Linked DNA regions of Caenorhabditis elegans. The protein of the gene in region 2 purifies or fractionates together with the protein of the main gene of each other region. This does not show direct contact. Each region holds a gene or a part of one and is shown on either strand. Other genes may lie near its edges. The genes, in order: F40A3.3 and lbp-5.

Region 1 (3,658 bases), on a different chromosome or scaffold from region 2:
CTGCATGCCTACTGCCTGTAATTTAGGTTTGAACTCTGATGCTTGCACAGAATTCATCAACGTTTTTGAAGTTATTTACATAGGACAAATTGATGAGTTTTTTTTTGGCATTTCGACTAAAAATAGCAACATTATTTACCTAGACTGTCTGAATAATTAATTTTAAATTCAAAGATATTTCTAGATTACCTGTGACGGTACATAAACTGCTTTTAACAGATCTTCAATATTAATTTATAAAAACGAAAAAAAACGTGTCAAAGTGACTTTGCACTTTTAAAGTAATCCCTCTCTCAATTTCATTTTTATCCAAAATACCCTCTATATTTCGAACTCATTTCGTTTTCATTTGACCTCCTCTTATTTTTTATCCAATTTCCTCTAACTTTTTTTTGCAGTTTCCGGCGAAAAAGGATCAAATGTGTCGTCCGTGAACTCGTCCATCATCAGTTTTCTCCAAACAAGAAACAAAAAACAACAAACCATGTCGCGAATGGATAGTTATAGTTCATCGATTCGTGAGGAGCAGAAAGCCATTCTTAATGGTCTTTTAGGTATTCTTTTTGCGGACGGTTAGTCAAAAGTGTACTGTAGTAGAAACGAAAATGTGCTTTGGTGCATGTGGATTTTGTGATGAGATACTAATAATTTGTACGCGTGAGGGTGAATTATTCTTTTTTTGTAAAATTTGACGCACTAATTTTTTTTGGAAATCAAACATTTGCTCGTAAAATGTGATGTATTGAATCGGCACACTGCACCTTTTCCTTTTGATCTTAAACCAGTAATTAAAAAAAACAATTTATACTCGTTTATTTTTCCACTGGTGTCGCACGGTAAATTTAGTATGACGTCACTATATCCGGACAACAATTTCTAATTTTCAGTTGCTTCTTTTTCAATCAATTATTTCTGAAGATTTACTAAAAAAAATAGTCAAAAATTCCTGAAATCTCAAGTTAGTCCATGTCCCCAAGAGCCGCGAAGTTACACATGTTTTTTGCATTTTTGTTGAGTGAAAACTGTTTTTAAAAAGAAGTTCGAGACAATTACAAAAAATTAATTTTTTTTTCAGGAATAATCTATGACAACTATGACACAACTAGGAAAATTCATCAAACCGTCGATGGAATCTATCGGTTAGTTCCTTCAATTCATTCTTAATATTCTTCTTGGTGAGACCCATTTTTTCAGAATGGTCGTCGCCTTATTGCTCATCGTGATAGCTCTCATCATCATTGCCGTATTTCTCATTTGTTTCTTTCATTGTCGCCGTGCCAACAACGAGGAGAGATCTCCACTGCACTCGAATCGAAAAAGTCATCCCATTGAAATTTGAACATTATTTAAGAATTTTGTAATTTTCGATAGAATACGTTTTGTTATGGGTCTTGCCTTGTGTACCAATAAATTTTTGAACTATGCAGAATATCTAACAATTATGGCTGATTTTAGTCGTTTTTATGTAAAAGCGAAGAAAAATCAGCGATTTTGGACCTAATAATTTGTATAAGGTTTTTGTATAAGGCCATGAAACCTTTTGAAACCAGGCTGTACCTTTAAAGAGGTACCGTAATTTTATCATTTTTTTCGATGTTTTCTGAAACCAGTTTTTTTTTCACTTTTCTAGTCGATTTTTAATTTAACATTTCTCCAAAAGACACAAACATTACAATTATGTGTTGACAGTTAGACAGGAAAAGTGCAGCGAGACGCAGAGAACAACGAAACTCCGTTGCAGGCGCTGCGCCCGTATTAATGTGAACCGAAGATTTTTTTGTAAATAAATTTGATGATTTCAAAACTGTTATCTGATCGAAAATTCATTTTTAAATGAAAATGTTTGCGAAAATAATAAATAATACAGTAACTTTAGGTATTTATTAAAGGCGCATCCAGGATTTTTTAGTAAGGTCTCGCCACGAGTTAGCTCCGTACTACTCGTGGGCAAGATATACATTTTAATAATTAATTCGCTGTTTTTTTTTAAATTTTTTCTTCACTTTTATCGCCATTTAAACCGAGAAAAAAGCTTTCGATGTTCAAATTGATATCTTTTACATTCTCAAATAATAAATTTTCGTTCTGACACGACCTAAATAAGTTTCTCTCGACATGTTTCGTTGTTTGCATCCATTCCTGATATTTTGTCTTCTGACAAAACATGATTTCTCATCGGTATGTAGTGAAAACTAATTGATTGTATTGTTTTTCTTTCGCGTGAGAAAATAATAAAAAAATAAATTAAGGATGGTCGTCCTGGTAACGAGATCTCTGCTCCCCGCCTTATTTTTTGCTTCTAGAGCTCCATTCGCTGCCGCAACTACTTCTGCTAGATTCCAAAGGTTTTCGTTCATATTTTTCTTCTTTTCCAATTTTTTTATTCAACTAAACCTTTTTGTTTATTTCAGAGGTCTCGCTACAATGGCCGCCGAAGCATTCACCAAACACGAGGTCATTCCAGACGTTCTCGCTTCCAACCCACCATCCAAGGTTGTGTCTGTCAAGTTCAACTCTGGCGTCGAGGTAATTCAAAAAAAAGAAATTTAAAAATGTTTAAAAATGTTTTCAGGCTAATCTTGGAAACGTTCTCACTCCAACCCAAGTAAAGGATACTCCAGAAGTAAAATGGGATGCTGAGCCAGGAGCACTCTACACTCTCATCAAGACGGATCCAGATGCTCCATCTCGCAAAGAGCCAACCTACCGAGAGTGGCATCACTGGCTCGTCGTCAACATTCCAGGAAACGACATTGCCAAAGGAGACACTCTTTCCGAGTACATCGGCGCCGGACCACCACCAAAAACTGGACTCCATCGTTACGTTTACCTGATCTACAAGCAATCTGGACGCATCGAAGATGCCGAGCACGGACGTCTAACCAACACTTCCGGAGACAAAAGAGGAGGATGGAAGGCTGCCGATTTCGTCGCAAAGCACAAGCTCGGTGCTCCAGTCTTCGGAAATCTGTTCCAGGCCGAGTACGACGACTACGTGCCAATTCTCAACAAGCAACTCGGAGCATGAGTTGTTCTTCTGTAAAATTGCTAAATACAAAGTTTGTAATTTATATTGTGATTTTCTATCAGCCAGTTTTTTCCTATCCAAGAAGTAAATAAATTTGATGAAACGATGATAAACAAATCGCAATCTTCAGACGATTCTAACTTTGTTATCTTCTCTCCCTATCCGTCCTCCAATCATCGTTACTGATTACCAGGCAGTGGCCATTCGAATTCTCCCATTTCGACATTCTCGTCTCTTCTCATTTTTCTTCTCTCTGACGCCGACGACTTCCAAATTTCTGTCTTCTTCGCTCGCAGGTTATCATGTTAACCCTCCATTCTCATCCACAGTCTATTTACAATACAATTCTCCAATTTCTTTTCCGTTTTCCAAATTGATTCCAGTGTCTTTCTTCGAATCCAAAAATTTTCTTAATTTCTTTCTTGTCTTCTCCGATATTTTACCTAATTGCACCCACTTGACTTTGAAACTAAAGTTGAACTAAGGGCAGAAAAAGAAAAACACACAGGTTTTTTGTTGAGGTAATTGCTGCAGCAGAAAATGCTTCGGAGGATTCTTCTCTCCGCTATACTAATTGTTTTAGTAGCCTGCGTTCTCCGCAAGAAGAAGCCATGTATCAATGGAACTCCT
Region 2 (3,809 bases):
ACTCTCTATCCACTCCTTTTCCAACATCGGCTCCAAGACGAGTACGCACAAAATCCAGTGGGTACACGAAGCATAGAGATGTTGCACCAGCTGCTCCACCAGAAGCGAGATTTCCAGCAAAGAATTTCCAGAATTCTTTATTCTTGTCAATTCCTTCTTGAAACATCTTCTTATAAGTGTCTTTGAATGCAAAATTCAGCGCTTGCGTTGGAAAATATCGAAGCACATTTGCAAGGTTTCCTCTCCAAAATGCTGCATATCCTTGTTCTTTTGGCACTCTAGCAAGAACATCCATAATTCCTTTATATTTTTTATCGGCAGTTACTGTTTCAGAGACATCACTGACTTGAAGTAGAAGCTTTACACGTTCAATTGGAGCAACGGCAGTTTTTGAGATTGCTGCAGCAGTGCCTCCGGAGGCGAGATCAACAAGAAACTTTCGATAATCAAATCCTTCCTTTGTGGTCATTTTGTCCTTCTGGAATGTTTTTTTTCAGAGATTATATTTCCTGAATGCTGATAATAAAACTTTCTTCAAATGCGAGTAGGAAGGAGCTCACTAGACTCTTCTCAAAATTTTGGTCATGAAAGTCTAATCAATATAAAGAATAAAATTAATTTAAAAAAAAAGAAAAATCTAAAACAAAAGTGTTTCTTTAAAAATTGTTGAAACTAATGAAAAATTTTACGGAAAATAAACAAGGCCTTTTTTAACAGAGACAGAGAAAAGAAAAGGGTTTCTGGTCCTTTAAAACGTCACTCTGCGTAAACAAAAACACTATTTTTCGCTATTTATTGCATCAAAGACCGAACAAAACAAGAACAATATTCAAAATAATCTATTCACGAATATAGGCACGACGAGAGATAACTGATCCAGATTGGAGAGTTGTGATGAGCTTTTCTCCTTCAAACCAACGAGTGATTACAGAATCATGATCTGAATCCTTAATCCTTTTTTGAACATGAACTACTTTTCCATCTTCAATTGTGATGGTTGACTTGAATTGACGACCGTCTGGTGTTGTCTCGTCGAATTCCTAAAAAACACTATTTTTTTAAATGGTAAATTATAACAGTCAATTTAAAAACTGAACTTTAATGGAATGAAAACCGGGAGTTGTTTTTCATGTAGCCGACACATTTAAAGATCGTAACTAATTCGAAAAAAAAATATTTTGTTAGATTTAATATGATTCTTTTTTTGATTTCAAATGTTCGTTTAGAGTTCGCAATTGAATTTTCCATAGACCTATTCTGAAAGACATAAACATTAGATTATTTCTTCATGCCACAAAGTGTATCTATGTTAATAGAACACCCGTTTGTTGTGTGTAGTGTTCAAATGGATACAAAGTTCAGTTGTTCTTTATTCTCATTTTTTTGTTTACACTGAAAACCACGTGTACCTTCCTGCACTTTGACCCACTAGTTTGAGTCTTATCAGTGTTTGCTAGAGTTTCGAGAAAGGCATTTGAAAGTTTTTAAATGGGAAAGAAAATAACTAACGAAAAAGCCATATAGTTGTTGAGTTCTATTCTCGTTTCCTTTTTTCAAAATTTCACTTACCACTCCCAGAGTGAACTCCAATGTGGTGTTCTTGAAGGTGCTAAGTTGATTGACATGCCACTTGTTTCCATTCACTTTGATCTCTAAAGTTGGTTTTGCAGCACACGCGGCTTTACGAAGAAGAAGACCAACCCCAACTTCTTTCAGGTAATCCTCGAAATTCTCGGATTCGACAAGCTTCCAACGACCCACAAATTGTTCAGCAGACATTCTGAAAATTTGGAAATTTACAATTTTGATAAAGAAGTACCAGAATAATAATAAAGGGAATTAAATGAAAAACGAATAAGTATTAAGAAATTCTGGATGATTTATTTCTGCTTTTAGAAAATTGCCTATGATTCTTTTGGATTCGTATTATTAAATTTATAGTTTCTAATGACAAAAATAAAAAATGTAATGCATTGCAATAAGGAATATTAATACAAAAAGCAGGAGAAAGTGGTTTAGATGAGTGAAAACCAGAAAAACGTATATATAGTAAATAGGACACAAGGGGGAGTGTACTGAAACTGCTGCCACGTTGTATTGGGTGATGGACAAGTTGGTCAATTTTTGGACGGTTTTGAACTGATAACATGGAATACACTAAGATGGAGTGTAGTATGTACATGGTGAATCACGATTAATAGTACTTTTTAAACTTTTGACATATAGTGTCGTTCAAAAGTAGATACAATGCGATCTCGTTTTTTTTTTTACAATTTTTGACATTTTTTTAATTGAGCATAACACCAAAACGCTACTTTTAACGTGGAAGAGATGGCGGGCAACAAGGTTAAACGATGGCCAATGTAGGTTTTCGATTAAAAAAATATTTTCCAGAACTATATGTCAAGATGTACCATAACGGATTGATCTACTATAAATGCGGGAATTTTTCGCAAGAAGCTTTTAAATATTTGAGTGTTTATACAGTATTTGTTATACAAAAAACAAAAAAAAATCAAAATTGTGACTTTTCTCTGACTTTACTGTGTCCGTTTATGTGTGAGTCAATCGAAAATGTTTGTTCAAGTTTTGAAACCGACTTATTTGACAACTATGACGTTGCGAAAACCAACATTAATTTAAAAAAATATTGGGGGACCACTGCTTTTCAGGGCACATTTTCAGTTTTCCCATACCTAGTTTTAGAAATATGATAACATTCACTGAAAATTTGGAAAGATGAGTGGAGTAAGGTAGAATTCACCAGAAAAACAGTTTGTATGTAGATATTTTGTATCGATTTCGTAGTTGATATAATCTTAGTGAGATTTGGAAAAAGAAGGAAATATAATTTCTACTTCAATTGAAAATTGGGTGTCTAAGTGGCATGACGAGACAATACAGCAGTAAATGGTAAACTGTAAAAGCCGCAATTAGTAAACAAAACCAGATTTTTTTCTCAAGTTTTCAAATCGAAACATCTCAACTTTACACAAATGTATTTCAATCAACAAAAGTATACCTCTTTTCATTTGAATGACCTCGATATGAGAGTGATACAATCTCCTCTCACCCTGTTTCTAAAAGAAGAGCGCTATTTATCTGACTGAGAATCGGCCCTAGACACTGTCTGACGGGACACAGAGGAACATTCAAATTAAGGTGATTTTAGAGTTTTTAGTGAGGGTGAATGTTCTGGAACTAATTCGGTATCTGGAAGTTTTCGCACGTTTAGCAAAATAGTAGACTTACAGTACTCTAGAATACTCACAGTCAGGGAATGTGTAGCTTCGATTTGCGGAGCATAAAAATTGAAAATGTTACTTACTTCATGAAAATCAATTTATAGTAGGCTGATAGGAATCGAAAAGGTATGATTGTGAAATGAAAATGCAATTTTCTAAATGGTTTACGGGGGTGGCAAAAGAATTCATAATTGTTTAGATACGTGGGAGTGCTCTTGGAATTTTCAATTTGAACGAAATGGAACATAGTACTACTATTAATTTAATACTATTGTGAAATGATTTGAAAAGAGTTAATTAGAAAATTTTATTACCAAAAAATTGTCAAATAATTGAATCCAGTAAAATAAATCAAAAATAAATCCGAAGAATATGATCTCAATGATTTTAAGCGGTTCCAATTCCAGCCATCGTGAGATTTTTCAGTGTAGAGCCCTTTCTTTTCATCACTCCAAATACTTCATGTAGAACTGATCGATATCGTAAAAAGTAACTCCTTCCATTTCTTTCTGTTCACTCGGGTTTTTGCACAGAAAAGCGACAATATGCTTGTGATCTTCTGCA

The links.
Region 1: the proteins of lbp-5 (region 2) and F40A3.3 fractionate together in Caenorhabditis elegans (co-fractionation; one large-scale study listed by BioGRID). This does not show direct contact.

What each region holds. Positions count from the first base shown.
Region 1 is NC_003283.11:7,875,365-7,879,022, forward strand, and holds F40A3.3 (Phosphatidylethanolamine-binding protein), read left to right. Parts: upstream 1-2,164; coding exon 2,165-2,178; intron 2,179-2,249; coding exon 2,250-2,345; intron 2,346-2,411; coding exon 2,412-2,526; intron 2,527-2,572; coding exon 2,573-3,028; downstream 3,029-3,658. Other genes in the region: F40A3.4 (Envelope glycoprotein N), read left to right, coding at 485-554, 1,076-1,139, 1,195-1,339; F40A3.2 (EGF-like domain-containing protein), read left to right, coding at 3,569-3,658.
Region 2 is NC_003279.8:6,730,491-6,734,299, forward strand, and holds lbp-5 (Fatty acid-binding protein homolog 5), read right to left. Parts: upstream 1,787-3,809; 5' UTR 1,780-1,786; coding exon 1,570-1,779; intron 1,041-1,569; coding exon 840-1,040; 3' UTR 777-839; downstream 1-776. Other genes in the region: ant-1.2 (ADP/ATP translocase), read right to left, coding at 1-469; smg-5 (PIN domain-containing protein), read right to left, coding at 3,692-3,809.